Linked DNA regions of Mus musculus: all the other regions are reported to be linked to region 1. The links are microRNA targets in miRTarBase. Many come from high-throughput screens and were not tested one by one. Region 1 holds a microRNA gene; each other region holds the end of a gene's coding sequence.

Region 1 (5,072 bases):
GCAGTGTTAACATTAACACATGAAACAGAATGAGAAAGTGGGGTAAAAAATGTGCCTGAGTCCTTTCAACTTTATGAATTTGAAACTTAAAATAGAACCGGGCGTTTTTTTTTTTTTAACCTATAGTTCTTTGGGCGAGCACCATCAGCACCTGAGACTGGGTTACAAAGGCAAATCCTGAGGGCTCACCTGATGACAGTCACTCTCTGGAGATGGGACTGGCAGGGTTTTCAGTAGTGATAAAACCAAAGACTCAACGCAAACTTAAATTCCAGTTATATTCAAATGTTCCTTCAAGACATACCCTATAAAATTTGTTTTCAGCTCAGTGGGGGAAGGGCACTTGCCATCGGGCCTAAGAAATCTAAGATGTATGTCCATGACCCACATGACTAGCTCCCTACAGTTGTTCTCAAATCACCACATGACACACACACTAAATAAGTAGATAGATAGATAGATAGATAGATAGATAGATAGATAGATAGATAGATAGATAAATGTATGTAAATGCTGGAAGTCTAGGAGTGGAGGGGTGCCTACCTTTAATCTCAGCATTCTAGAAGCAGAAACACACAGATCTCCGCAAGTTCAAGGCTAGCCTAGTTTACAAATTGAGTTCCAAGCTAACCAGAGCTACATACCAAGACGCTATTTTAGAAAAGCCAATAGTATTGCTAATTTAAAAAGAGAGCCATTGCCATATCCAGGGATCCATCCCATAATCAGCTTCCAAACGCTGACACCATTGCATACACTAGCAAGATTTTCCTGAAAGGACCCAGATATAGCTGTCTCTTGTGAGACTATGCTGGGGCCTAGCAAACACAGAAGTGGATGATCACAGTCAGCTATTGGATGGATCACAGGGTCCCCAATGGAGGAGCTAGAGAAAGTACCCAAGGAGCTAAAGGGATCTGCAACCCTATAGGTGGAACAACAATATGAACTAACCAGTACCCCGGAGCTCTTGTCTCTAGCTGCATATGTATCAAAAGATGGCCTAGTCAGCCATCACTGGAAAGAGAGGCCCTTTGGACTTGCAAACTTTATATGCCCCAGTACAGGGGAACGCCAGGGCCAAAAAGGGGGAGTGGGTGGGTAGGGGAGTGGGGGTGGGTGGGTATGGGGGACTTTTGGGATAGCATTGGAAATGTAAACGAGGAAAATACCTAATAAAAAAAAAGAGAGAAAAAAAAGAGAGCCCCAGGCTGGAGAGATGGCTCAGTGGTTAAGAGCACTGACTGCTCTTCCAGCGGTACTGAGTTCAAATCCCAGCAACCACATGGTGGCTCACAACCATCTGGAATGGGGTCTGATGCCACCTTCTGGTGTCTATGGAGACAGCTACAGTGTACTTGTCATATAATAAATAAATAAATAAATAAATAAATAGAATCTTTTAAAAAAGAAAAAAGAAACCCATTTTTTTTCAGACTTATATATCAGCTTTATTTTGCAAATTTCAGGTTTGTTTACATTCAGTGCAATCAAAATGTCAGGATTTCAAATATATTTAAAAATATGTAGTTTTAAAAAATTAGACTCCAAGCTGGGCGTGGTGGCGCACGCCTTTGATCCCAGCACTTGGGAGGCAGAGGCAGGCAGATTTCTGAGTTCGAGGCCACCCTGAGTGAGTTCCAGGACAGCCAGGGCTATACAGAGAAACTCTGTCTTGAAAAACCAAAAAAAAAAAAAAAAAATCCACTCCAAATGTGTTCAAAGCAATGACTAGCTAAAGGATTTTACAATCTTACTATAGCACTGATAGACGGCTGTCCACATAGGTCCTGCGGTTTACAGATGGATACCGTGCAATTTTCCTCCTATTACACCAACCAAAATTGCATCGTGTTCCACCTGATAACAGCAAAACAGTTCATTTCATAATTACAGTCTAACATAACTTACAATACTCAGAAACTAAAAGACGATTAAAAACCCTCTTTCTTCCTCAGGCCGGGACAAGTGCAATACTTTATATCTAACACAAGTAATGCCACCAATCCCCACCTGTGGATGAATGGGCATGGATGCTGAAGATGTGCATAAAGGTGTCCATTACGATGCAGAAAGGTACACATTCCCACAATCAGTTTTGCATGGATTTGCACAGCCATATATTCACATATACGCTGAACTGCAAATCTGCAAAACTAATCGTAAGTAGCAATGTCCTTGCGCTGTAGTTGCTTCAACAAGACCTTGGTTGATCCAGGAGTACTAGAAGTGCTCACACTGCAGTAGAGTGGTATAAAAACTACCTGCACTATGAGCACTTTGGCACTACTAGGATCCGAGCTTGTTCTTCTACACAACTGTATACTACAGTCTCCGCCATCTGTTTCTCGGCGAAACACTGAAAGAGCCTTTGAAACTTGTGCCGTTCAAATCATTTCTCAAGATATGCTTTTCAAATGCAAGGTAAGAAGTAGCCTGTGCGAGAAGGGGCATTTAGGGCAGTAGATTGTAAGCTGCTTCACTAACAGCACTAGATGCACCTTAACACAAGAGACACATTACAAGGAGCAGCTCAAAAACATCCACAATCTAACTATGCAGAAACCAGGGGACTCAGCGGCCTCTGATTAAATCACCATGGTAATGTAAGAAGTGCTGGCACTGCAGTAGAACTCAAAAAGCTACCTGCACTGTTAGCACTTTGACATGGCCAAGGCATACTCCAGGAGTGTAACCTTGAAGTCTTCCACGAACTCTTCTTTGCCAGATCTGCAGACTCACCTGGATAAACACACACACACACACACAGCAAGTAAGTGAACTGTGAGTTACTATTTCTAAAACAAGTTTGCCTTCCGTTAAGAGTGCAAATGGGGTTGTGTTACTTCAAACATTAATAAGCTCAATTATTTACACAGACTTAAACATGAATAACACTGGCAATCTCAGAATGTCTGACTCTTAAGAGTAAGAGGATTTTGGACTCCCTCTCCGTCTAAGGAAATTTGAGATTCGCATCCCAGAAAATTTGCAGAGCTGTAATATCCACCATGGTTTTCTAAGAGGCAAGAGCCCAGGAAAAGATGTAAGCAAAAAAATAAATAAATAACATTAGGGTGAGTACTGACGTCTTGAGCTCATCCAGAGCTTTGGGGAGCCACTCGGAAGGTCTCTATGTTTGATTACATGAAGCATCCCTGCCCCCAGCCCATTAAGAGAAAATGATAGAAATTTCAGAGCCGCTTTAAGAAACAGTTTTACACTCTTCACATACCGCACAGATGGCCTAGAGATGTCACATTTTCATCTATTTCAAAGGGCTCTACTTCTGTTTAAACATTTATGGACCCATTTTCTCCATTAAACCTAAAGAAGTCAGATTAGCTCTTTGGCTTCATGTCATTATCTTCCACAGGAAAAACCTCTCTCATTTCCAAGTGTGTATCTTACCCAGGAAAATGCTGCAGAGGACAGTCTGAGGGGTCACGAGCTCCCTCCCTCCCATGATGGAATGTTTGTGTTGATGGGGGGACACCAATAAACTTCAGGGACACAAAACTTGAAATGTGTTCAATGAGAAAGGATATTTTAAATGTTGGAACTTTTCGAAGCCACTTAGTGACTAAGATAGTTCTTAAAACATTTTAAATATAAATTAGCAAAACTTTTGAAGTAAATATGAAATCTGCTTCCTATAGTGCAAGTATTGGCTTATTATACTTTTCTTCTTGAACTGGGTTCCTACAACTAGAGATTTTTGCCTCCACTAAAAATATATTACAAAACCTGACTCAACTTCGCAAAACCATACCTCAGCCCTCCAGAGAAAGCTCCTTCTAGCTAATACCTTTCTTTAACACATCTGCTCTCCATCATATATACTAGAAAGTCGCTGTACAACTTCTAAAATTGCAAAGAGGACCCAGTCTTTTACCATTTCGGGATTTTCTCTGGTCTATTCCCGCATCTTCAGCAGCGGCTCCAGTAGAGATCTGTGAACCTCCTGGGAACGCAGGGTGTGCTCCAGCCAGTCATGCCACGCGCTTAGGTCTTCAAGACACCTTAGCGGCCACCAAAATTAAACAGAAAGAAACAAAGCATTATGGGAAACGGAGTTCTCCATTCAAAGCCCCCAAAACGCGCCAAGCTTAAGCCTCTCCCTCCATTCTCGGGTTGGTGGGAGGGAAACCAAGGTAGGTCGGGAGTCCTCCCGCCCCACACCCCACGTGCACCCTGGCATTTGACCACCCACAAGTTCTCCAGAAACCTTCAGAGCAACAAGGGAGAGTCCTTTTCTCACGAGTTGCCTGGCACCCCTCAACTACACTCAGGTACTTTGCTTTTCTCAAGTCTTGCCAGCTCCATCCCCTCCCACCTTAGTTAACTCTCTGGGATCACAGCTGCGCCCGCGGAGGTACGCATCTCCTGGTCCAGTCATCCAGAACAAGCGCGTAGGGGATCTGCCAGTGACCCGCCCTGGCAGGTGGCGCGCGCGACCATCCCGCTGCTGTCCTGCCTGCCAGGATCAGGGAACCGCACGCATCTTCCTAGAGCTCCTGGCCCTCTGCTCTCCTAGCTGGTGGAGGAGGGAGGGCGGCGAGGAGCCACGTGCAGGAAACGCGCCCCGGCGGCCCACGCACACCTAACCCCCAAAGTGTCCGCGCAGCACCACTTGTGCACACGAGCCTGTGGCAGCGGTCCGTCACCTCGAGCTGCGTCCCAAAGCCCGATCCCTGGGAAAAGCCCGCCCTTCGCCTTTAATAGCCTAGGGGGGAAAGCCCGCCCCCGCCCACTCGGCCCACACAGGAATTAGGAAATGGAACCCCCACACCGCCCAGGCCAAAGCCCACGGTGCCCCAGTGACACACAGGACCCGCTCCCTCAGCCTTGCCCTTCTGTCCCCAACACCAGAGTCCTTCCTTAATCCAAGCACCCATGGGATGCCAGTCTAAACCAGTGCCACAGTCGCCTGCCCAGAATGGCGCACTCATTACTACCTTGTCCGGTCAGGCTCCTGAAGCGCTTGTCCCATCCCCCTCTGGAGATAGGCTACGAGGCCCAAGCAGTTGTGGGACCCAGGTGTCCCCACGTCCCAACGAGTGCGCGCATGC
Region 2 (5,072 bases), not on the chromosome of region 1:
TGACACACGAGGATGACCATTGGTCACACATACACACATGCACACATGCACACGCACACACGCACGCACACACAGTTTGACAGAAAATAGTTTTCTTCAGTGGATGTCTTTTCCTAACATTCGTTGTTAATCTGTATAAAGTATAAATATTCAAGCCTGTTCCAGAGCACTTGAAAGCTTAGAACTGGATCACAGTGGCGTCGTATCTAGAAAACTGACTGTCGGGGCACCAAGGCTGAACTCCCAGGTCCCACAAATGTCCTAACCAGTGGTGGCTTCTTTTGCAGTCCTGTCCGGTCTGCAGATCCCGTGTGGAGCATGTCCAGCACGTCTACCTGCCCACCCACACCAGTCTCCTCAATCTGACTGTCATCTGATGCGTCCTGCACTCGATGGACAAGCCATGTCCCCACAAGCTGCAGTATTGTAAACTATAAGAATAATAACTTTGTGAAGAGCTATTTCACTCTCAACACCCATCTGCCATGAGACATTTTCAGAAACAAGGAGGAAAAGAAAACAAGAATGTGACCACACCTCTTCCGTGAGGAGAAGCAACAGGCCCCATGGCCACCAGGAAGAACTCTGGGACACGGACACATTCCTTGAACTTTAGGGTTGGTTTTTTTTTTTAATGATCAAGTAAAGGAGTAGATAGAATCGTCTTCGTCAGTCAAGTGGCAACATGGCCCAACCGTGGGCACCTTTTAGGAAATGACGTCATATGTCTCCTTCACTTTTTCCCCGGGCAGCAGATTTTGTAAGTGTTTTAAGGATTTCCTTGGTTCTTTTTGTATGGTCATGGAGCGCTGAATATTTTTAATAGGGATTTTTTTTCTTAAAGAAATAGTCCTCATTATAAAAGTCATTTCTGTCTTTATAACTCATTCAAGAACAACTGGAAAAGCTGGCAGATTGAAAAAAAAAAAGCAATCCTGTGACTTCCCAAGGGTTGACAGCAATGTTGTCAGATTGGAAGCAGTCTGGCTGAGAGCCAATAGGTAACTCACCGTGGGTGACTTCCTTCCTAGAGCCCTTCCGTTTCCCCTCATTCCACACCCCATGCCTTTCACTGATAAAAATGCTACCAGTTTGGTTAAGAGACATACATGGTAGAGTCAAGCACTCCCTGGGCTTTGGAGATTGGAAAGCGAGAGTAGCTTCCTTGAAGGAAAAAGATGAGAGAGAGAGAGAGAGAGAGAGAGAGAGAGAGAGAGAGAGAGAGAGAGAGAGATGAGCCAGAGAGCCACTCAGTATGCCCGAGTGGTTCTTCACTTTCCCAAGCACTCACTCCAGCTGCACCCATGGGTGTCGCCTTGCTTGAAGATCAAACTTTCTACAGCCTTATAGGTTTCTAGATAGTGTCTCCTTTTTGTGTATGTCTTGTTTCTCGTTGTTCGAGTTTTCCTATGTCAGTGCTTCCATACTCATTGTCCTGCCCCCTCGGTGTCTTCCAGAGGTAGGGCTACTTCTTTATGTTTCCATATTCTAAGTTTTCACCCCCACTTGGGCATTTTGGAAGCTAGTGAGCTAGGGGGTTTTCTAGGGTGTCAGGAAACCTAGCTGACCTCATCGGGTGCAATACTAGCTAAGTTAAAGCTAGAAGCCTACACTGTCACTTTACTGAGATTTCTGAGTCTACGTTTCATATTGCCTTAATGTAGCAGTAATGTGTTTATGCATTTGTTTCTTTGCACAGACATTTTGTCAGATATTAAAACTCTACTTTTTTATGGCACATATTAGCATATAAGCCTTTATTCCAAGAGGTATTTATTTTTTCACTTGTAAAAAAAATAATGTTTCCACATTTAAAAAAAAAAAAACTCTGTTATATCCTAGAGGACTTCTGTCTTTTATATTCAGGATAATAAAGACTTTAAAGCAAACTGGGCCTTTGTGATCTTATGGTTATTGTCACGTAGGCCATTTTGCCATTGAGTGAGCACTTCACCTCAAGGTTGGGACATTTAAGGTGTTAAGGTGGCTTCACTGAGAGGATCTGCCCAGGTCTTCTATCATCTGTTTTTGGACATACAAGGTTTGAAGGTAGGTGAACAAGATTCTGTGACACACATGGTGTATGCAAAGGATAGCTTGGGGAGGAGGGAAGCAAAGTGGCTCACCCAGTAAAAGATTTTGCTACATAAGTGTGATGGCCTGAGTCATCATGGAACCCACATGAAGAGGAGAGGAAAGATCCAACTCAGCAAAGTTGGCTTATGACGGTCACACATGGGGCTCGCAAGGCTCAGTCACAGCAGAAACATACTGTGGTGTCCGGGACTGCCTTCCTACAGTACTACTGCATGCTTCTGCTGGGCTGTGCTGGTGTGTGCACATCTATGCTGAAAATGCTTTGTATGGTAGAGTATTTTAAACTATCTGTAACTGATACCTTTACAATTGGGAGACAGACCCCAACACAGCCTCCCATTGGTTTCTAGGAGTCAGCTCATTTATTCAACATATTTATTAGACAACAACTCAATGGTTAATGAGCCCCAGAACTTTCAAAGAAAAACAGTCAAAGACACAATTTATCACATACCCAGAGCAGCAGCAGAGTATTGGGTGTCTTTGGGATTTACAGTGTCTGTGTAGTGCCTGTGACACGCATGGGTGCTTCCGTATGGAAGTTCAGTGATGTTCAGGTTTGTGTACATGACTGTCTCAGAATGATAACCAGGATGAATGGGTGGGTGAGTGACAGGTCAACAAATAACATTGCTTGTACTCCATGGGCCAGGGACTTAAGCTTAGCAACCAGCATGAAAACCCATGTATTACTTGGCTTTCTAGAAGCATAAGGGACGACACACTGCTGAGCATAGGAGATACTGACTACCTCTGCTTAGGGTCCAGGGTAAACATGCTTCAGTAGGACCTTTGAGCAAGACTTGTATTCTGTAGATGGGGGAAAAGCCGTATGGCCCCTGTCAAGGCTACAATGCAGCCAGCCAGTGGGTCTTGCCCAGGCTCACATATCAATGCACTGATAAGAAATTAGGCTCTGAAGGAATATGTGGCATGGGGAAACAGTGAGGGGAACCTTCAATTCCAGGTTTGACTTTGGTACTCTCTACTGCCTTCAGAGGCAGGAACTGGCAAGACAGGAAAGCTTGTACAACAACTAACACATGAGACAGAGGAGAGCAGAGAGACAACTCAGTTTTGATTATGTCTTGACATGAAGAAAACAAGGAAAGTGGGCCAGAGAGATGGCTCAGTAGGCAAAGACTGACAAAGTGGAAGATGGATGGAGAGATGGCTCAGCCGTTAAGAGCCCTGGCTGCTCTTGCAGAGGACCTTGGTCAGATTCCCTGTACCCACATGGTGGTTTACAACCAATTGGATCCCCCATTTCCAGGGGATCTGATGCCCTCTTCTGGCCTCTACATGCACCAGACATGCATGTGAGACACAGACATACATGCAGGCAAAATAGTCATACACATACTTTTTTTTTAAGGTGGATGGAGAGAAATCAGTAAAGTTGTCCTCTGACCTCCACATGCTCCCCGTGGCATGTACACACACAGACATACCATGCGTGCACACAATGATCAAAGAATAAGATTTTTTTAAAAAGGGTAAGACAAATGAAAAGACTTGATGAGGCGTGTCATAAAGATTGAAAACAACTGAAAGGAGAATCCATAGGGGGAAGGGGTTAGTGACTTGTTGCTATGACCAGATACCTGTGTCAAGAAGCAACCTGGGAAAAGAAGGATTTATTTGGACACACACTCTAAGAGGAGATGCATCTACTCCATCAAGGAGAGGGAAACATGGTAGCAGGCACATGAGGTTGCTGGTCGTGCTGAGCCTGCCAGCAGAGAGCAGACATTGGACAGGAAGTGGGCTAGGCTATGAAACCTCAGAGACCCACTCTTTTTAGCAGGACTTTTCTCCCTTAAGATTTCACAGTCCTTCAAGCCAGCCCCACCGGCCGAGGACGAAGTGTTCAGATATATGAACCTAAGGGAACTTTTTACATCCAAACCACAGTAGGAGGGATCCTCAGGAACAGAAAGGAATTTGCTTTGTTTGGATCCTGGAAAGCTAACAGAGGCCCTACTTAGAATCACCTGGAACTGGTTAGAAGCCAGAGTCAGACTTCCGGGGTCGGGACTTCCGGGGTTGGGACTTCCCGGGTTGAGAAAGAAAGAAGCCCTTTGTGTTAAAGATGTGAAAGTGACCAAAGAAGCAGCTGGTACCCCCAGAGGAGGCGGGGCTAAAACGTGCTCTTGGAAGTTGTTTTGTTAAAAAGCAAACATTTGTTTTTGGTTTTTCCCCTTGGGCCTTCAAGATAACTAAAAAATGAAAGCCGAGCACCTCTGCCTTCTTTTGGTCCCTGTCTCCAGGCTAAAGAGACAGAGACAGAAATCAATGTCCTTAATCTGACCTCCAGAAGTCATCTTGGATTCCCAGCACAGCAGAAGACCACCAGACAGAGAGGCCACGCCCAAAGATGAGAATAATTACCCATGAAAGTCAGGCTGTACCCTAGAATGATCGTGTGGGGGCCATTTGATGCCTTTAAGTCATGACAGCCATAAGGAAGGACTTCTTCAAAACCCTTCACTAGAATAAGACAGAGACCAACTGATTGGATGTTTGATTATGCACACCCCTGTTTTCCTGCCTCGGTTCCTCCTCTATTTAAATCCAAAGCTTATGCCAGTAGTGAGGGGGGAAAAGAAAGAAGGAAGGAAGGAAGGAAGGGAGGGAGGGAGGGAGGGAGGGAGGGAGGGAGGGAGGGAGGGAGGAAGGGAGGAAGGAGAAAGACATGACAGTTCCTCAGTATGGTGAAGGAGAAAGTTTATTATAGAGATGTGGGAGAGCATAGCCAGAGGCTGACACATCTGGGAGAGTCCAGAGTGGTTGTGACCCTGAACCTCCTGGTGAGAGGGGGAGGGGAAGGGAGAGAGTGGAATGGAGCCCGGTACATCAGCCAGGAGGCCAAAGGTGCAGAAGAAAAGAAGGGGCAGGTAACCAAAATGTCTGGATTATGTAAGGAAGAGCCTCTGGGGGAAGAACAGCCTAGCCCCTGGGCTTGAAAGTTCATG
Region 3 (5,064 bases), not on the chromosome of region 1:
CGTCCTTCTCTGATATCTAGGTAATGTTTCCTGGGGCTGGGCAGATGGGCCAAACTAAAGTACAAATCACTGAATTTTAAAGTAAAGGACAGTTGGCAACCTGGGATTTCTAGGAGGTCTGGCTTGAGCCTCAAAGCAGACTACCTATCTGCTGGTACCAGGGTCTATGTTAGCTTTTGTCTATCCCGTAGTGACTCCAATAACCTGAAACTGAATAATGTGCGCCTGCCACGGGAGAACATGTCCCTCCCATCCAACCTTCAGCTCAATGACCTCACTCCAGATCTCAGAGGTACCCAGACCAGTTCTCTGCCTGTGCTGAATGCTCAGAACTTTTAAGAAAGAGACACCCCGGTTCTTAGGAGGAGACAAGTCCCACTAGACAAAACCCTGTCCTGGGCACCACTCCATTTGTCACCCACAGGGAAAGCAACAGAGCGGCCAATGGCTCAGCATAGCAGCCGTCCAGAGCTTCTAGAAGCCGAGCCTGGTGGCCTCCTCACCAGCCGAGGTAATGAGCAGAGATCTCCTGTTCTCCTCTTCCCATCCCTGTGCTTGTTATACCCAAGGCCCCTGAGTGCTGCCAACAGAAGGGACTTCCCCAAGCTCCAGAGAACCAGGGTTCCTAATCCCCTGGCATCTCTGACCCACAGGTTTCATCCGTCTCCCGATGTTGGGCTACATCTACCGTGTGTCCAGTGTAAGCAGTGATGAGATTTGGCTCTGAGCTTGATGGTGAGGCATGAGGCCCAGGTGGCCTGTGGACTCCCCAGAGTGCCCACCCTGGTGTCTCCTTCAAGCTTTCCTCTGCCTGTCCCTGTTGTGACCATGAAGAAACCATGTCACTGCCATCTGGCCTGCCTGGCAAGGATACCCTGTGGGTCATGCATGTGTATTTCTTTGCACTCTAACCTGCAAGGCATGGGTACCCTTGGCAGACCCCTGGTCGGAACTAGCCCCTTGCACTCACTGAGTTTGGGGCCCTGCATGTGATAACCTGGTCCAGGCACACAGAACCCTGGCCAGGTGCGTTCAGGTGTCACCCAACATCTAAGAGATGGGCCTATTATATGTCCTACCTTAGTATCCTCTGCACCTTGTGCACATAGGCAGAGAGATGCCTATGTGGGGGACAGGAGGGTCCCTGCACAACTCAGATGTCCTTCCTATGCTATGCAGCTTTGTTCCCTCAGGGAAAACTTAGCCCCTGCTCTATGTATACAACCAAACTGCCCTTTGCTCAGGAACCAGCCCCTTGCCCAGGGACCTGGCCAAGCACAAATAAGTCCCTTTTGCTGCATATCTTTCTACCCTTTTGTCCCCACCTCCTCTTGGGTATCATCGGTCATACCCTAGACCTTCTTCACTGGGCATTAGACCCCCCATTGGTTGGGGCCTGCAGGTGCCAGCTTTTGATGTTAGCACAAGATGAGCAAGAAGAGGTGACCGGTGGGCTGGCTCCCAGGACGACATGTAGCTCTGCATCGTTTTGTACAAGTGTCTGCATTTTAAGCACATTCCCCGGAAGGGAGGAAGGCCCAGGGCCTTCCTGGGTTCCCCATGTTCGGCCTTCCGCAATTCACTGTGAGTGTTCTGAGCACTGAGGATTGGTGGTTGCCCTCTCTGCATGTCTCTCCCACCATGCAGCCTCATTCTCCACCGAGCCTGGCTGCCCCATCCTATTCTTTAGGGGATGGTCACAGTTGGGTATATAATCCAACAGGGCCAGAAGCTTTAGGGGGGACAGAGAAAGCAGGAGCCCACTGAGCTCCGAAGAGCTAATACTTTTTAAAAAGCAACCTGAAAACGACTGGCGACCATCAGAGTGCGGCGTCTATTCTCCCTTCTTCGTATCTTGTTTTGTAATTTTTCTCATGTTACTGGTTAGGGCAGTTGCTACACACACAGTAAACTCCTTTGACCAAAGAAAGAAGTGTTTGTTCATTTCTTCAAAATTTACTTGTGTTTGTTTTTTGAGACTCATGTAGTCTAGGCTAGCCGTGAATTCAGTACTGGACAGAGGCAATGTGATCTTATCTTCCTGCAGTCACTTCTCGAGTGCTGGGATTATAGGCCATGTACTACCACCGTGTTTTCCAAGTATGCGTTAAATGAACCCCACGTCCTCTGCAGGGCCTGGTGTGTGCCACACAAGTGCTTTGCCAGTGCATAAACACTAGCCTTTCCTCCTCCTCCTCCTCTTCCTCTCTTTCTTTTTTCTTTCCTTCTTTCTTTTCTTTTTTCTTTTTTTTGACATTTTAAGCAGATTTATTCACAAAGTAGCAAGAGGATAATGCCCTGTACAAAATACAACAGATTCAGATTCAAACAGAAAAAAAAAAGTTTTATGGACCCCTTCATGAATTTCCACATCACATTATCCTTGTGTAGGGACCATGCCAGTCTTTTCTGTATTAAATGTTTTCGATCACACAGCAGGCACCTGAGTACCCGCCGGGAGCAGCAGTTCAGTATCTGTTAGTCTAATGTGGACTAGTAGTGACCATAAGAGCGGTAGCTACAGCGGTCTGTTCCCTGGAGCCCTGACGGAGCATCTGAGCGATCACTGCACACTTCCACTCCCCATAAGGCAAACTCTAACGCTAATGGTGAGAAAGCAGAGAGCCTGGCCTAGTGTCAGAATGAGGCAGCAACACAGCCCCAAGCCTGACGTGATCACAGCTGGTTTGAGTTTGTAAGGCTCATGAACAGTCTGTGTGTGTGTTGGTCAGGCTGACAGTGGAGCCTTCCCTGCAATCCATTGTGACACCACTTTCTCCCTGTCAGTACATGGCTCGGTTACCCATTCAGTTGCTTAAGCCTAAAATATCTCAGCGTCATCCTTGGTTCTCTTAGCGGGTCTCTCACAGAGGAGGGAATACTGAAGGACCAAACACAGGCCTTGCTGGGTGTCCCCCAGCCCCACCCCACCCCACCCTCTGCCCCCAGCATCTTAGCAATCTTTGGGTCTTTGGATCACAGTCTTTGGGTCTGGTTTTATTTCTACGTATTTGTCCTGGAGTCAATCAAGCCTGTGCAATGAGGTCCCCATAAAAATTCCAAGGGTGGGGCTGAGAGCTTCCACGTGGACAAAGGAAAATTCCTCATTCTTGTGCTGCTGGGTTCTGATTCCTGGTCTGCATTTTTGTCTGTCATGGGAGGTGAGGAGGTGAGAGGAAGCAACCACTTTGCTCAAAGTCCCTGCAGTGGTAGGTGAGGCTCTGCAACCCTCCTCTGCCCTCAGCATCATCTGGCCACAGCCACCTCCTAGATACCAACCTTTAAACTACCATGCACCACTGTGTGTGTGCCCGCATGTGTATGTGTGTGTGCATGCTCATGCAAGTGCACGTGGCTTACAGAACACAAGTTTTAGTAGTTTTCTCCTTCCACCATGTGAGTCCCAGGGATTGAACTCAGGTGGCCAAGCTTTGTGACAAGCACCTTTACCTGCTGTGCCATCTTGTCAGTTCCTTCCCCATACTTTTGTCACCAAATTGTTGTGTTAAATGTCCTTTGTTAAAAACATCCAGAATGGGGCAGGAGAGATGGCTCAGCAGTTCAGAGCACTGGCTGCTCTTCCAGAGGTCCTGAGTTCAATTCCCAGCAACCACATAGTGGCTCACAACCATCTGCAATGGGATCCGATGCTCTCTTCTGGTGTGTCTGAAGACAGCGACAAAAACCCAACAAAACTCTAGAACGGTTTCAGGTTTCCTGGCTGGGAACCAGTTGATACCACTCCAAATTGCTCCTGAATCTCTCCTCCACTTCCACCCCGCTTAAGCAGCTCCTCCAAACACTGCCACAGCCGTGCTCCCTGGAGCCACACGCTCTTGCCTGTGCCTCTCAACCACCAGTGGTTAGTCAGGCGTCCCCACAACCCGCTCCTCGGAGTTCAACATATTGCAGAACCTAGAGAAACACTTTTCTCAATTTTTCATGAAAGATGGTCAAAGGATGCAGGTGAAGGGGTGAACAGTGGGCACGGTGGCTCAGGCCTGTAATCCTAGTACCCAGAAGCAAAAGGTGATAATGAACTCGTAACGCCTGAGCTTCATAGTGAACTGTAGACCACTCTCGGCTGTACAGAGAACCAGTCTAAAACAAATACAATTATTTTAAAATTCACAAAGATGTGTAAGATGCATGCCACCTTTTGGGAACCTCCCTGTATCTGACTGTCTGAAAACTCTCCAAGGCCTGACCTTTTGAGTTTCCATGGAGACATCACACGAAGGAACAGCTGAAACCTGGACCACTATGCTGGCATGTGACTGGGCAAAAATGGTCTGATCTAATGCTGTGGTTTGGGTGGGATGCCAAGTGAGGTCTGGAAATTACTCAGTTTGCTTCCTTGCTGGTAAGGGGCAAGTGCCCATCTAAATGAGGGTCTTGGTCTATTATCCAGATAGGTCAACAAATTTAAGAATAAACTGGGTTTGCTGAATATACCTGAAGGCCTGGTACCTGGGAGGTAGAGGTGGAGGCGGGAAGATCAGGCCTTCAAGACCAGCCTGCACAGATAGTTCGAAGCCAAGCTGGGCTACAGGAGATGCTGCCTCACAACACAAACAAAAGTAAAATAAAAGAATGTAAGATTGTAGGAGCAGATGTCCATGATTGCCTTGGGGAAAGATTCGGGGTTGTGGGCTGCTTGGGGAGAAAGGGAGGTGAAAGAAGGGCAGAAGGTCAAATAGAAGGACATGATTCTCAGAGGCACAGGCAGGCCTGCTGTAAGGCCCCAACCCGACCCTACTCACTCTAGAGAGCATCAGGGCAATGGGACACTAATGAGCCAGAAGCCATGGGTGAAAACCAGTATGTATTCCATCACAACCTGACAGAGCAGTCTGTGTGTCTCTGGAAGCTCTGTCCCCAACCTGTGTCCTGGGGCTCTCAGAGTCCCAGTTCTTCCAACTCAGAGGCCCACAGCAGAGTGGCTACATCCTTCCTCTGGAATGGCAACGGGAGGCAGGTGTAAACAAGGTGTGCCCTGCCCTCGAGGACAAGGCAGCAGGGTTCATGTTGACAGAGCCCAGCTGTGGAGCAGGGAGACATTAA
Region 4 (5,072 bases), not on the chromosome of region 1:
GCTAGCTCCAAGTATGCCAGGAGCTCCTTCATTAAGAAGAATGTCAACCCCATCACCTGAGCTCCTTCTGCAACAAAGCACTTCACTTTCCCTGGCAAATGGGTCAACTTTAGGGACCTGTCTCCAGCCTCAGAAATCCTTAGGTGTTGGGCACCTCTCTATTCACCCAGTGTCAAGATAGGGGGACATACACATACAAACACACACACACGACCACACACGCACCAAACTAGGCGCATCCTTGAAGGTAAATTACTGCTGCTTTTATAGCCCTGGTACACAGTACTCTGTACATGACAGACATCCGGTAAATCTCTGGTAGGAACTTATTTGACTTTCTTACAAATTATAAACTTCTCAGTGCCAAGAGGTCCTATAGGCTACATCTCTAGTCTCTGCAGCATCTAGCAGAATTGGATATAATCCATCAGCCAAGCATTTTTATGGTGTTTGCAAAATGAAACGCTAACTCCGATCAAAGAACTTACAACCTTTTCCTCCATTCTGTCCTATATGCCCTCAGGAAACTTCTACCCTTCAAACTTCCACAATAGTCCTTTAAACCTTTTGTTGCTGGACTCTACTTTAGGCCCTATCAATGTGCTTTCTGTTTCACTAGACTGTGAGCTCCCTGAGGCCAAAGGATCTTTTTTAGACAATTCTAATGACCACAGTAAACATTCACTAAAGAGCTCTTGGTAGTTTCGTAAGTACAACTTCAACCAAGTTCTTATGTTTATGAACGAATTGTTTAAAGGAAAAGAAAAATTCAGCTTTTGTGTGAGGGATTCAGCTTTGTGTTGCATCAGTGCTATCAAGTTTTGTTCTTGAAGAAAACAAACCTTTTCCTATATGGCAAGAATACAATTTTTTTTTAAGGATGAAGGTTACAGTAAGGTCATAAGGCAACTCTACAAGTTTCTAGCTTCCTACAAATAGCACCTTTTATTTTAGCTTGCAAAATAGTTTATTATAAAAGGTTACTCTCATGGACTCTTTTCATTACGGAGCTTTAACATACTAAAGACCCAGACTAGCCAGACAAAGCAGAAGCAATACTGAATCTATGAAGTCACCTATGGAAAAATAGGTATTTTCCACTTTTCAGCAAACAGCACATCTCAGTAGGTGTGTAAAGTCTTTGTTCTTGTTGCATGTAAGGAAGTCAGTTGCTTGCTTTTGTGTTTTTAAGAGGATACCAGGGTGGGTTGGTACTAGGTAACCTAGTGGCCTTAAACTCAAAGTAATCCTCCTGCCCCAACCTTGTTTAATAATTTCTAAAGCAATTAACTAAATATTGGCACAAGTTAGAGGCATACTTTATTTATACTTAACTCTTTCATAGATTTAGCTTTTTATGAATTTTATTAATGTGGTGTGGTGTGGTGATGGTGTGTGTGTGTGTGTGTGTTGTATGTGTTTTTGTGTATGTGTGTATGTGTGTGTATGTATGTGTGGGTTTGTGTGTATGTGTGTGTATGTATGTGTGTGTATGTGTGTGTATGTATGTGTGTTTGTGTGTATGTGTGTGTATGTGTGTGTATATGTGTGTATGTATGTGTGTGTTTGTGTGTATGTGTGTGTATGTATGTGTGTGTAAGTATGTGTGTTTGTGTGTATGTATGTGTGTGTGTGTTTGTGTGTGTATGTATGTGTATGTGTGTGTATGTATGTGTGTGTATGTGTGTATAAGTATGTGTGTTTGTGTGTATGTGTGTGTGTGTGTGTGTGTGTGTGTTTGTGTGTGTATGTATGTGTGTGTGTGTGTGTGTATGTGTATAGGTGCATGTGCACATGTCATGCACTTCTGTGGTCAGAGGACAAGTTGAAGAGGTCAAGTCTCTTCTCCCTTGGGTTTCCAAGATCAAACTCAGGTTGTCAGGCTTCGGTGGCAACTACCTACTGAGCCAACAGCTCATAATTTGTTTTAACTTATGTTTGAGTTATCTTATGAAAGAACAACAAAACAAAAATCAAAAGAATACCTAACTCTACTTATTGTTGAGCTTTTCAAGAGATGGAGTAATCTGAAGGTTTTATCCCACTACTTCATCTCACTAAGCACTGGGGTTAAATGACTCAAACTCCTTTTTTTTTTTTTTCCTTTTTTTTTTTTTCTTTTTCTTTTTTTTTTTTTTTTTGGTTTTTCGAGACAGGGTTTCTCTGTGTAGCCCTGGCTGTCCTGGAACTCACTCTGTAGACCAGGCTGGCCTCGAACTCAGAAATCCTCCTGCCTCTGCCTCCCGAGTGCTGGGATTAAAGGCGTGCGCCACCACGCCCGGCCTCAAACTCCTTTTTAATAATATGTATAAGTAACAACTCTCTGTAAGGCCTTCAATATTCTCCTGTTGCTATGATCCGAGCAAATACCATGTACCAGGTAGTGATTATTTCCCCAGAGCCAGAGATATTGCAGGATCTCGTACATGCTCTATCTATCACTGAAGCTACAGCCTCGGGTTCATAATGATTTCTAATCATTCATTTATTAAACAAATATTACCTCATCATCTAATGTATGGATACATCAGTGGACCAGATATTAAGTTCATCCTTCCAAGAGATGACAAAGCTATAAAAGGCAACTCTGTAGGCTGGGTAATGTGCTCTTCATTTTACACATGAATGAATGGTGGGGGTGCTGGTGGAGACCTGACTGCCACTCATGTGCTTTCCAGCAAACAGCTGCTTTTCTCCACGTGTCCTACTTGGTTTAACTTAGTTCATGAAATACAACAGTTGTGGAAACCGAACAAGCCGCTAGTGGGAAGGCTAAAGGGCTTGCTCGAAAGGAATTGCTCTCAAATCTCCTGCTAATATAAAAGTAAATGTTGTTATTCCAGTTGTTTGGGATTACACATTGTCTTCAAGCAAAGACTAAATAAGGCCTAGAAATCCACATTCCTAAGAGTAGAAAAGCAGAAGGCTCATAGGCCTATACAAGATGGGCAGAAGCTTAAGGGTTTTGTGGTTTCTTCTGCTCTCCCTGATGGTCACAAGAAGGCTGGCAAACAGTAGGGGCCCAAGGAGTTCCAGAGAGGAAGGGAGGGAGGGAGGGAGGGAGGGAGGGAGGGAGGGAGGGAGGGAAATAGAGAAAGAGAGAGCTCCAGAGAGAGAGGAGAAGAGAGAGGGAGGGAGGGGGAGGAGGAGGGGAGGGAGAGGGGCAAACAGTGGAGACTATAGCTCTGCCAGGCTTTGTCTTCAGCACACACCTTTGCTTCCCTTGCCTCTGCCTCCCAGCTACAGTTAATTACCAGGTGCTTTCTAACCAGACAGTAGAAAGGCTTCTTCTACTGAAGTCTTTTCTTCTTCTTTTTCCTCTGACACTTCTTCCCTGACATAATCAGACCTCTCACAGCAGTAGGGGAAATTCTCTGGGAAGAGGCTACAACTTGACAAAACCTGCCCTTTGCCACGGTTCTCCCTTACGCTGGTACTGTATAGCCAGCCACTCACCCTATTTACTACCCCATACCTCCCCAAGTTATCTACCTACAACACTGACCAGGTCACTTCCTTCTGCAGACTGTGGCAAGTTCACAGAAAGAAGCTCAAATACATAATGGTGATGCAAGAACTCCTGTCAGCATCTGAGCTGAACCCCCACCTTTCCAACCCTCTCTCACTTATCTGCCTACACCAGAGGCAGGCAGAGACACCCTCGTAGGTCTCTCTGCAGGCTGTGATCTTTGATGCCTCCAATGAAATGTTTTTTCCTCAGTAAAAGCTTCACTCATCTTCAAGCAGCTTTGGTAACCCTCCTCTCTGCTTCCACGTTTTGCATGCAATTAATTATAGCATTTAAGTCATTCACTGTAATTTAGACTTTGCAAGGTGAATCTTGCCATATTCCCTTTTTCCTTACCCCGACCCTCTACAACCGCCCCCCCCCACCATCTTCCTGCCTAGTGTAAAATACAGCAAAGCTTCAATAGAATGTCCAATAATCAATATTGTAAAACACAAACCACACGTTGAGAAATGACACAATTATTCCATACCAGTTTATTTTAGATAATGTGCTTCAAAAACTTTATCATAAATAACCTTTCACATCATAAAATAACTTAGTAAGATTTATAATAAAACTTCTGAGAATTTAACATCTCATCAAAATACATTTAAACTGTGGCTTGAAAATATGATTAATCCTCTTTTACTTTCCTTTTATTTGAGGGCATAAAGACCAAAAAAAAAAAAGAAAAAAAATACCCAAACTATTGCTATACATTTAAAGTTTCAACAAAGCAATATTTGGCTTATTTGAAAGTAACCTGGCCATCCTAAATTAGCAGTTTTCTTTCTTGCAGTGCTTTGTAGTTTTTGTCCCTTTTGCCTTGGATTTCTCTTTTCTCGCAGCTTCCTTCTTCAGGCTCACCTCTCTCTCCCTCTGCAAAGTCATCTCTGAGCCCTCGTGCAGTTGAACTCGGCCCCTTGACATCAGTTTCTGTAATCCTTGCATCAGCGTGGGGAGTGACTGCTTGAGTAACTACAAAGGTATTTCAAAACTTCAGTGCAATTTGGTTCAGTTATTTCCATTCGGATGCCATCACCGTTCCGGGAGATTAATCACGGGCACCCACTGATCCATGTAGCGACTTTCCCGGCAAAAACAAATAAGTTGACTTAAGGCAGGATCCTTCCATTGTGATGAATGTGGGTTCTGTGAACAGATTTTGAAAAAATTACTTCCCCGGAAAATAATCAGCTTCTGCTACTAATTGTGCTACTTTTGAAAGGGCCAAACCCCGAACATTCTGTTAAAAACAGCATCTAGCATAGTCTAAACACCTGTAACGTGCACGGAACTACACAGAGTTTTGCATATTAACTACCCCATTCTGCATGAGGTTACCATTCTTAAGACCTCCCTTCCAAGCATGTACCCTGGTGGGTCATAAGTAAAAGACTCCTGAAAAGCATTCTCAGGCTGTGTGCACGGTGAGGGCTGCAGGGCAGGCAGCTGCTGAACTCTTATCTTCCCTGACGATGAATAGCACATTTTACTGGCAGCAACAAGTAACCAGGCAGTCACTTCCCTACACAAGTCAGAAGAGAAAGAGTACAAAAAC
Region 5 (5,067 bases), not on the chromosome of region 1:
CAGAGGCTCAAGTTCCTGTGTGAGCGCAATGACAAGGTGAGGCAGTGTATCTCTGAAAGGAGCCTAGCCCAGGGGATGGGCTGCCTCTCCAGACCTTGCTCTGGGCAGGCATCTGGGGGTTTGGAATGGTTCTGCTGTTCTGAGCTGTCAGAGCCACACCCTCCTTCCCTGTGGGCTCTGTTGCCTTTACCCCAGGGACCTGGTAACACTTTTTTGCCTTTCCTTGGGGATAGAGAGAAACAGGTGTCATTCACTTCCTCTCTCTCCCCCAGTGTCAACCTCGTCTCTCTTCCCAGCATACCCCTCCCCCCCGCCCCCACACCACACACACACACTTAGCCCTTGGTGATGTCTCTTCTACTTTATTCAGGTGTTTTTTGCCTCTGTCCGCTCTGGAGGAAGCAGCCAAGTTTACTTTATGACTCTGAACCGTAACTGCATCATGAACTGGTGACGAGGCCCCTGGGCTGGGGCTCCCCACATGGACCCAGCTCTCTTCCCACAGCCAGACTACCCAGGCCGCCCCTGCCCTCCCACCCCCTTGGGCTTTTGCTTTTACTGGTTTGATTCACTGGAGCCTGCTGGGAACGTGACCTCATATCCCTGAAGCTTTCGTGATCACGTGACCACCCTTTCCCCCAACATTCTCAAAACTGTGCCTTTCCCCAACTTGTGGGGAATGACACAGCTTCCTTCCCCTTACCAGGAATTGAGTGGGACTTGCTCCTCCCCTTTTCTCCACAGAAGAGGAGAGCGCTTGGGGCTTGGACCCCTTACCCCATTGCTGCTGAATGAGCAGGGCCCTGACCCCTTTATTTGCACGCCAGGGGAGCCGGCTCCCCCCTTGAATGTACCAGACTCTGGGGGGGGGGTGTTCACTGGGCCCTGGGTTCTGGAGGCGGGGCGGTCACCAGCCACTCCAGGGGCAGGGACCATTCCTCATTTTCTGAAAGCACTTTAATGATTCCCCCCCAACCCCCAGGGAATGGAGGAGGGACCCCATAGCCAAAACATTCCCCCCTTTCCTCCCCACTCCCACCCCTTCTAGCCTCTCCCCTTCCCTAGAAGGAGAGAGCTCAGAGCTCCCAGCCTTTATCCTCCCTTGCTTGCATCTGTATATAGTGTGAGCAGCAAGTAGCCCTTCTCCCTCCTGTATCCTTTCTCAATGTAGTGGCCTTGGATATATCCCCTTTGTTAATAAAGACAATTCAACCAGCTTCCACCATTTTGAGATCCTACTATTGTTCTCTCTCAATCCTGGAGAGATTTGAGAGTTGAGAATGCAGAGGGTAGAGGAAAGGCATTAGGCTCTGTGAAGTTACTGTGATAATAGAGACGAAGTAAGGTGGATGAATAGGCCAGGGATCAGTCCTGACACGGTAGGACCCTTTGAGAATAGTTTTTACCAGCCCCAGCAGGGCCAGGCCAGACTTCTGGCTTCAGTGTTTCTATATCTGGGTCTTGTAAAAACCTCATTGGCTATCAACTAGATAAACATTCTTTAGGTTAGAAGGAGCCAAGAGCAAAATTGAACCAATTGCCTCCAAGTGCCTGACCAAACCACCCACCCATCTTCTACTTCCCTGAGGAGTTGGACCCACCCACATGACCACACAACCCCTCCTGCAAGTTCACAAACCAGATTTATTGTCAGCGGCCTGTTTTCAAAATCTCTTTCTTGGGGGGTGGGGGAGAGGTGGGTGCCAGTGCAGGCTCATGGTTGGATGCACGGTGGGTAAGGGAGATCAGGAACTTGGTTGAAGTAACCCCCAAGGAAGATGAGAGTAGAACCAACGCTGAAGAGCACCAAAGCTGCCCAAAAACAGACATTGTCCAGGGCCTTCCCCATACGCACCCAGTCGGACAGTTCCTGTGAGAGAGAGCTTAGCGAGGGAGGAGCCTGGAGGGCGGGGCATCTAGCACTGCTCCGCCTCAACCTCCCAACCCACCTCTCCAGTGGCTTCCTGGTCTCTTGTGCTCTCAGCCACAAAGTTCACAGCATCCACACAGCAGCGGATTTCTGGGGCTGCAGCACCCAGGTTCTGGCAGAGGGCTGCTGCTAAGGCAACAGCAAGCGCTAGGTCATTAAAAGAGCGTCCCTAACGGCGAGTGTATGCCTTTGACCCAAGAGCAGTGCTTACCGGTCCAAGTTCCGTGCCGATGCCTCTGACCCTCAAACACGAGTTCGCTCCGCGGCTTTTTCAAGATGAGCTCCTCCGCTCTGAGCAGAATGCCCACAGACGAGGCACGCCTCGCTGGTGAGGCAGTTCGGGGATCCTCTGGGGGTGGGCTCGAGCCCAGGAGACGCGGCAGCAGCTCTAATAAAATCTGCAGCCGGGGCAGAGAGAGGTTCCAAGCCCGCTTCCCACCCCTGGGCAGTACTTTCTCCAACCAGCGCTTACCTGGCGCAGCCGAGGGGATGTAGCATGAGTCGTTGGCGTCCTCAAAGATACGTTGAGCACGATGACGCAATTCATGACAATGAGCGTGGCAACCACCATGACGAATATAAGATACCTGATATACAGAAGCCTGATGTCACAGCACCCCACAAACAAGGCACTAGCTGCCCTCTACCTCACAAATACCACCTCCGCACAGCTGGTGGCGTTACTTCTTGATCCTCCTCAACGATGCCAGTATTGTCCTGGCCCTTCTGCATATACCATCTGTTGCGGACATGAAGGGGATTCCCAGCAATTTGGACACCCTGCTGTGGGTCTACCACTTCCACAGCTCCACCGAGGTGAGGGTATTAGAATGGCAGAATCTGGAGAGGTCCCCAGCTCTTCCTGCTATGGCCCTTTCCATGTGATCATTCCACTCACTACCCTTGCTCCTCCAGGTGGCCTTACAGCCTCCACTTCTATCTTCCCTGGAACTTGCTGTGGCCGCAGCTCACGAATATCTGGTGCAAAGGTTCAGAGAGCTTAAGTCCCAGGACCCCCTGGAATCCGACAAGTCGCCCACCCAGAAGGCCACCCTAGGGCTGGTGCTAAGAGAAGCTGCAGCCAGCATCATGAGCTTTGGAGCCACCTTGTTAGAGGTGCTGCTCTGGGAGGCTGAGGGATGGGAATAAAAGGGGGAGAGGGCTAGGCCAACAAAAGCAAGGACCTCTAGCCCATATGCCCCAATGTAGATCTCGGCCCTGTGGCTGCAGCAGGAGGTGCAGCGACTGGACGGCGGCAACGACTGCCCAGGCCCAGCCCCAGACACTGGGGATCCTGGTAGGGCGCTGGCCCGTGTAGCCCTGGCCGCAGGGCAGGGGATTCGGCAAGCTGGAACGGCAGCTGGCGCAAGTGCCCGGTACCTGATCCAGGGGGCGTGGTTGTACCTGTGTGGACGAGGTTTGCACGGGTCTACCTCATCTCTGCCACAAACCCTATGCCAACTGGGCCTTGGGGTCCCTGGGGATCCGGTGCGTTTGGGATAAAGGGTGCGACATGGGTCAGAGGAGGTATGATTAAGGAGATGCTGAACTATACTGTCCTCTTAACAGAGAGACTCGGGAAACCTCAAGGTGTCGCCCAGCAGCAGTGAGGAGAATGGGGGAACAGATAATCCATCACTGTCCCAGTCCAACCCTGTGTCCAAATAAAAGTCCAGAACGGGACAACACCAGGTCCCTATGCAAGCCTTCTTTGGCTACATTCTCCATGCATGCCCCTATCTCTGTGGGATCCACTTTGAGATTACCTGCCCAGCAGTGGCACGCTCAGAGAAGTCTCTGGAATTTTCTGGGCAATTAGAAACAAGAAGACAGTCTGGGCTAGCAGGACGTTGATAGAGACCGTGCATTTCTGGCCACCAGCTAGAGGGAGCAAGCTGTGAGAGGCAAGCCAGGGAGCAAGCCCAGCCTGGGGTTCAGGAGTCAGGGTCACCCCTTACCCTGCGCAGGCAGGAAGTAAGCGAGCAGCACCAAGCCAGAAATGAGCACGCAAGGCACAATGATGTTAATGACGTAAAAAAGCGGCTTCCGGCGGATGATGAGCGTATAGATGACGTCAGTTTCTCCAGGACCTTCTGTGGAACCTCCCTCATAGCGGCGAATCATGCCTGGGCAGTAGTCTATGGCCCATTCTCCATTCTCTGCAGGACATAGGGCACAGTCAGCCCGCACACCTGCAACTCCAGGCCAAGAGGGCTGCTTGAAACCTGGGCTGTTAGCACGGGGGCAGAATGGTAGAGAGGGGCATTTCTGGTGGGGGTGTGGAAACAACACATCTAGACTGACTTCAAGAAGCTCAGCTTCCGGTTGTGTGGTTCAGGCCAAGCCCTACCCTGAACGTCCCCCCTTGAACCTTATCTGGGAGAAGAATTTTTGGAAAGGGGGTATATCCCTTCACCGGTAAAAGCTGCCGTGTCAATGTCAATCTTGTTGATGGTATTGCCGTCGTCATCCACGGCAAAGATGAACTCCACCTCCTCAGCATTGTAGGTCTGGGAGCTGTGAAACAGGGCCAGTCTTTACCCCAGAAGCTGGCAGCCATCTTAGTTCCACCCTGGAAGCTTCAATCTGGCAGGGTAATATGGCTCTCTTCTTTTGCCCACATTCCCCAGCGCGTTCCCAATCCTGCTTCCTTTTCTGTTCTGTTTTGGGTTGCTGATGGGCTTACCGTGCTATCCAAGGGATTCCTGGACTCAAGTAATTTTTATGCCTCAGACTCCTCCTGGGGAATAGCTGCGACTATGCGCTCAAACTACAAGATGGCAGCAAGAAACCTGTGCCCACGCCTACTGCAAACCTACACCAGCTTCCCACCCCTTCACTCCAGTGCCTCACTCCAACTCCTTCCCAAAGACCTTCCAAAGAAGACCCCACCTATCCCTCCTTAGCAGGCCCTGTCCCCTGCTCTAGGCCCTTCTCAATATCATGATTGAAGTGATTCTTCCTACCGAAAAATGAGAGAGCAGTTCTGCCAGTCAAAGGGGAAATAGGTGACCTCCACTGCGCAGGTGCTGCGGTAGATGGCTGGGGGCAACCAGCTCACATAGCCTCCCTCATAGACTAGAACATTGCTGTCGTAGGCCACTCCAAACTGCCCATCAATACTGTGGAAACCAAGC
Region 6 (5,072 bases), not on the chromosome of region 1:
TAGGGGTGGGGTGGGGGTGGGGCATAAGAAGAACTGGAGATGATCACATGAAGGAAAGAGGAAGAGCTAGTGACTACACCTTCTATTGTGTGAGTGACAAATGTCCTGGAAATGTACGAGCTGCTCCGAGAGGCAAGCCAGGGGTATTCTGAATGTCTTTCCTAGCTCTCTGTAGACCTCATCCCCACAAGGCAAACTGTAAAATCTTCAGCTACATTGATTTGAATATATTCTGTCAAAGGAAATACCCAGAGGCAGTCATATAATGCTATTCTAGGTGCTTTTAATATAGAGAATAAGAATTTTGGAAAATCCTGCTTTAGGATTCCAGTTTTTATTAGAATCAAGAAAAGAACCCGTCCCCTAGCCACGTCACTCCTTGGGACATTTTCCATCCAGAATCCTCAGGACAAACCTTGGTTATCCCTCAGGTAAGAGTACTGGCCCACTAGCTGGGCTCTGTGTCACATGTATATAATCCCAGCACTCAGGATCAGGAGTTCAAAGTCATACTTGACTTTTTTTTTAAGATTTATTTATTTATTTATTATATGTAAGTACACTGTAGCTGTCTTCAGACACTCCAGAAGAGTGGAGTCAGATCTTGTTACAGATGGTTGTGAGCCACCATGTGGTTGCTGGGATTTGAACTCCGGACCTTCGGAAGAGCAGTCGGGTGCTCTTACCCACTGAGCCATCTCACCAGCCCCATACTTGACTTTACAGGGAGCTTGAGACCGCCCTGGACTGTGTGAGACCCTATCTCAAAATGACAACAAAGGAGTATTGGCTCTGGACTGAACTGGGGTGGGGATCAATAGTAAAGCACCTATCTAGTCTGGGTTCAATCTCTTAGTCTGAAAAGAAAACAAAGTCTCTGACTCAGGAGTCAGAGACAGGAGGACCACAGCAAGTTTATGGCCAGTTTTAGGGTACATGGTGAAACTTGTCTTAAACATCAAATGACATCAACAAAATGTAAAATGAAGAGTACTGATACCCTTCGGATCTCTGAGTGAGTTCCTGGTGGGTGTGTGTGTGTGTGGGGGGTACAGGTGGGAGTGAGGAGTGGTGGGTAGCCGTGCGTGTGCAGTGCATGCTGGGTATCGAACACAGGACCAAGAGTATGTTACACAAGCCCTGTATTATCAAGCTACACTCCTAACTCCAAATATGCTTCCCTCTTTTTGTTTTGTTTTGTTTTGTTCTTTTAAACTCCCTATGGTTCCTTCCCCAACAGAGTCAATATTCATGTGGAAGTCTGGGCCAGCTGCTACCCACTCATTGATGCTAAAACACAGACCCTTTTCAGTATGGAACATGTTTCCTGAAACAAATGCCAGTTCTTCCCTCCCTCTCCTTTCCCGCCATCTGCTTGTGATTCGGCACTGTAATGTGACTTGTGGAGAAGGTCATCTTCCCCACACGACTAAGGATCACCAAATGGCAAACAACATTTGGGTCTCAAATTTACCCATACTCGAATGGTCTGAAAACAGAGAGTCGCCATTTTGTTCTCAGACACTTCTGGGCAATTACACCACGTGTCCCACATAGACAGATCCCCACCTGTGTGAGTCTTCCCAGACACCTGAGGGTAGAGCCAGGCTCCTAAACACCACAGGCCCCTTTTATTTCATGTTTCTTCCAGAAGAGGAAGGTCAGAGCTGCTAGGGCAGTGAGGCTGCCTTTGTGAATGGAAGCAGTCAGGCCCAGCTTCCTTCCTTTAGTTTGCATTTGCTTGTAGATTTAAAGTAACTTCCACATGATACAAACAACCTTAACAATTTCCATTTCTTTCTTTTTTTTCTGTGTCCCTAAGGGGGTCATAGTTGGCAGTCTGTCCAACATCAAAAACAAAATTCCTTCCTCTGGCTGCCATTCAAGATATTTTTAGGTCTGGAAGTGCACCCTCCTCTCCCTCCGTCCAGCATGTATATTTTTACTCTGCTCTTACCCTATCCAAACTCCACCAGGGCCTGTTTCCTGACAAACTGAGAAGTGAGAAATGCCTGCGTGGGGGGAAAACTGAAGACACATGTGTTGAAACTCTGCCAGGGAAGCATTGCCCAATGACAAACCAGGGCAAGTCTTGTGATGTTTTCTTCTGCTCATTCTAGCTTTTCTGACTCTGCTCTCACGGGGCCTGCTCGAACTGCCTAATTTGGATGTCGTGACCCGCTTTTAATCTAAGAGGAGTACCTCAGCCTAAGGACAGCCTCATCGTCTAAATTTGCAGAGTTGGGAGGGCAACTGGACAGATGTCGCGAGCAGTGTCTCTTCGCTCCAAACATTGAAAGCAAGCTCAGTCAGCCTTCCTTCTGGTCTCTGAAGTAGCTATCTTATGGATATCCCAGAAACCCTCTGAACTTCCCTTCTCCCTATCCACAGGGATGCAATGGGCACTTAGCAGTCGCATGGCTGCAATCCCCAGAACACCCAGCAGAGGATCAGGCCTGCGATGCTAGCAGATTTTGCAATCCTAACTCTCAGCCAGGATACAGCAGAGGTTGCCTAAGGACAGGGAGGAGTTGTCTGCAGGACCCTGCCTGGCTCTGAGTTCAGATCAGTTGTGATTTGCTCTGGAGCCATCTAAGCCAAGTACTGGGCTGGATAATCGTGCAAATACTTGTGGGCCATGGACCAACTGTTCTCTTCGCTTTTTGATTTCTGTTCCATTGGTCCATAAGCTTTGGAGCAGTGTCCTATTTGCTCTTCAAAACTACCAGATCAACGTGGAGTTCATGGTTGTGTACTGTGTGCATGCGTACACATGTGTGTTTGCGCCCCTGGATGTTTGAAACAGGGTCTCACTATGTAGCACAGCTTGCCTGCAACTCACAGAGATCCATGTGCCTCTGCCTCCTGGGTGCTATGGTAAAAGGCAGAGGCCACCAAGCCCCAGCCACTGTCATGTACACTTGCACAGCATCTTTGGGTACATGATTATATTCTGACTCAAACAAATAGCTGCCACCACCACCACCAACAACAAAAAAGACAACTGAAGAATATTGCAAAAATTATTTTACATAGGATTATTGTACAGTATTACAATGTATTATGTGCAAAATTCCATTGAAAATCATTTACAAAAGGAAGCACAACCCAGCATGTGCCAAGGGAGGGTTCTGGGACAACAAAAGCCTTGTACAGGGTACGAGGTCCTCCAGATCAGATGCCTGAACATCCTTACACAGGATAGTAACATGGCTTTCTGCTTTTGTTTTGCAATGATCTGTATTACACTGATGTATGACCCTTCTGGAATACGTGTGTCCATAAACTCATCTTATACAACATAAGTCTAACTTCACCATACATCCATGTTTTCTGCTTGTTTTGCTCATTATTTGTCACACTGAGGATGGAACCCAGCATGCTAGTGTGTGAATGTTAGCTCTACCATGCCCCAACCAAATACAGAAGGTTTGTTTTTTGTTTTGTTTTGTTTTTGGTTTGGTTTTGGTTTTAGTGCATTCTCTCCCCATCAACATCTCATTGAACTCAACTAAACTCGTATTATACATGACTTGGTTTCTGCCTCCAAATAAATGGATGTCCTTAGTGTCGGCTTACAAAATGGGTCAGAGGGATCGTTATCCTTGATTTACTTTTCCCCAAAGCAGATAGCATATGGAACAGATCTTTGTCAAAGCTCACCGCAGCACATATTTTACAGTACTGACTCCTTTTCCAACGTCTTGCGAAGAGCCTGAACCTGCAGACTACATTCCTCAGTCCCCCCCTTAGAGTCTGTGTTTCTCTCTCTACCTCTCTCTACATTCATTTCTCTTCTAATTCTCAGCCTCGATTGCTTAAAAACATAAACAGACACCAGCACTAAAAGTGAACAATGTAACAATACACCGCTAAAAGTGAACAATGTAACAACAATGTAACAACAGTACACCCGATTTTTCAAAGGCAGCCTGTGGCCAGCGTCAGGGATTTCTTTAAGACAACCAGAAGTCTCTCCCCACAAATTTGCCGAAAATATCCAGTTATAGAAGAGAGATTATCTATGAGGCGTCTAAAATGCAGTACTCTCAAATCCAGCAAGAGATTTATCTTCAAATATTAAATGTTAAATCACATGCATACTTATAGAATATTTTAAAAGTTACAAAAATATTTTAAAAACCAATCCTGACAGTTTACCTGCAACTGCTATAAAATTTTCTATGAAATATATAAAAACACAAAGGCTCTTTGTAAAAAAAAAAAAGTATAGGATGAAGGATGGACAAAAGAAGGGCAAGAGGGAAGGATGGAGCCATCCACAAAGCTGAGAGGGACCTGACGAACTGCATCGGACAGTCTTGTCAACAGCTGCTATCGAATCCAAGAGAAGAGTTTGTACCTTAAGTGTTTCCTCAGCACATATACAGATGTGTAAGCCAACCCTGAAGCTGGCTAAGGTTAACTAGTTAACTAACCAGTGATCTCAGGACACCTGAACCATTAAATGCAATTTACCATTTCTGGATGAGAGTCTTACTATTTCCCAAATCTCAGCTACCTCATCTGGGCAATGTATCTAAAGGATGCCCTTGGCCAAATCAGCCTATGGATGGCTTAGTCACTGAACTGAGGGATGCTTGAGGAGGTGGCTGTCTTCTAAGCTCAAACCCAAGGCAGCCAGAAAGCTAGACTCTCAGCTCCCTTTTTGGATGTATCAATGGGAAGTCCCAAGTGTCCCCTATGAGGGAGTGAGGTCTTCTCCATTCTGGAAAATCACCCCGTAAGGATCACTCTTGATTCGTTTGTAGACAAAGTGGAAGATGTGGGGCTGAGGCCGGCTGTGCAGTTCGGCCTTGATCTTCTGAGGATAAGTGTCCTCTGCCAGTTGTTGCCATGTCTCATCAACAAAGAGAAACAGGCTGTACTCTTCAGGGTCCTCCACCTTAAATTTCTCAGCACAGAGCTGACACACATCCTCTGTGGTGATGTACGGTCTCACAAGGAGGGTCTTCCCAGTGCATCCGCTGTTGACCTCTTGGAAGGCAACTCGGAGGTAATTCTGCAAGGGGAAAACAGAGATGTCAGGAGCTAGCGCAGAAAAGAAAACA

Evidence for each region. The annotated mature microRNA mmu-miR-19b-3p reads UGUGCAAAUCCAUGCAAAACUGA and lies in region 1 at 2,093-2,115, opposite strand. An mRNA with a match to its seed (bases 2 to 7 or 8) in the 3' UTR can be bound and repressed. Matches are read on the target gene's strand: a 7mer-m8 pairs with bases 2 to 8, a 7mer-A1 pairs with bases 2 to 7 and ends in A, and an 8mer does both.
Region 2: miRTarBase lists Mylip as a target of mmu-miR-19b-3p. Seed matches in the 3' UTR shown: 8mer at 1,691-1,698.
Region 3: miRTarBase lists Tmem25 as a target of mmu-miR-19b-3p. Seed matches in the 3' UTR shown: 7mer-m8 at 900-906.
Region 4: miRTarBase lists Gadd45a as a target of mmu-miR-19b-3p. The part of its 3' UTR that is shown has no 7-base or 8-base seed match.
Region 5: miRTarBase lists Mink1 as a target of mmu-miR-19b-3p. Seed matches in the 3' UTR shown: 7mer-m8 at 816-822.
Region 6: miRTarBase lists Rin2 as a target of mmu-miR-19b-3p. Seed matches in the 3' UTR shown: 8mer at 3,065-3,072.

What each region holds. Positions count from the first base shown.
Region 1 is chrX:52,739,899-52,744,970 of GRCm38, forward strand. It overlaps Mir19b-2 (microRNA 19b-2), which reads right to left and starts at 2,168; the gene lies at 2,085-2,168. Mir363 (microRNA 363) reads right to left here and starts at 1,869; the gene lies at 1,795-1,869. Mir92-2 (microRNA 92-2) reads right to left here and starts at 2,030; the gene lies at 1,940-2,030. Mir20b (microRNA 20b) reads right to left here and starts at 2,294; the gene lies at 2,215-2,294. It also overlaps Mir18b, Mir106a and Kis2.
Region 2 is chr13:45,410,134-45,415,205 of GRCm38, forward strand. Mylip (myosin regulatory light chain interacting protein) reads left to right here. Exons shown (of 7, transcript NM_153789.3): 7 at 288-1,807. The coding sequence ends at 377. Among named protein-coding and RNA genes, the nearest start is that of Mylip, 23 kb to the left of the region's middle.
Region 3 is chr9:44,790,638-44,795,701 of GRCm38, reverse strand. Tmem25 (transmembrane protein 25) reads left to right here. Exons shown (of 8, transcript NM_001357385.1): 5 at 1-20; 6 at 192-292; 7 at 425-511; 8 at 654-1,930. The coding sequence ends at 727. It overlaps Ift46 (intraflagellar transport 46), which reads right to left. Exons shown (of 12, transcript NM_023831.3): 12 at 2,988-5,064. Among named protein-coding and RNA genes, the nearest start is that of Tmem25, 6.1 kb to the left of the region's middle.
Region 4 is chr6:67,031,110-67,036,181 of GRCm38, forward strand. It overlaps Gadd45a (growth arrest and DNA-damage-inducible 45 alpha), which reads right to left. Exons shown (of 4, transcript NM_007836.1): 4 at 3,987-4,663. The coding sequence ends at 4,550. Among named protein-coding and RNA genes, the nearest start is that of E230016M11Rik, 3.0 kb to the right of the region's middle.
Region 5 is chr11:70,613,259-70,618,325 of GRCm38, forward strand. It overlaps Mink1 (misshapen-like kinase 1 (zebrafish)), which reads left to right. Exons shown (of 33, transcript NM_001045964.1): 32 at 1-36; 33 at 371-1,224. The coding sequence ends at 454. It overlaps Chrne (cholinergic receptor, nicotinic, epsilon polypeptide), which reads right to left. Exons shown (of 12, transcript NM_009603.1): 5 at 4,897-5,052; 6 at 4,347-4,447; 7 at 3,889-4,089; 8 at 3,697-3,811; 9 at 2,403-2,517; 10 at 2,142-2,328; 11 at 1,950-2,056; 12 at 1,625-1,870. The coding sequence ends at 1,715. It overlaps 4930544D05Rik (RIKEN cDNA 4930544D05 gene), which reads left to right and starts at 2,636. Exons shown (of 4, transcript NM_001145537.1): 1 at 2,636-2,746; 2 at 2,846-3,046; 3 at 3,140-3,347; 4 at 3,500-3,632. The coding sequence starts at 2,681. The coding sequence ends at 3,540.
Region 6 is chr2:145,885,554-145,890,625 of GRCm38, reverse strand. It overlaps Rin2 (Ras and Rab interactor 2), which reads right to left. Exons shown (of 13, transcript NM_028724.4): 13 at 3,010-5,023. The coding sequence ends at 4,703. All of the region lies in intron 2 of Gm39954 (a long non-coding RNA gene), which reads left to right. Among named protein-coding and RNA genes, the nearest start is that of Gm39954, 6.1 kb to the left of the region's middle.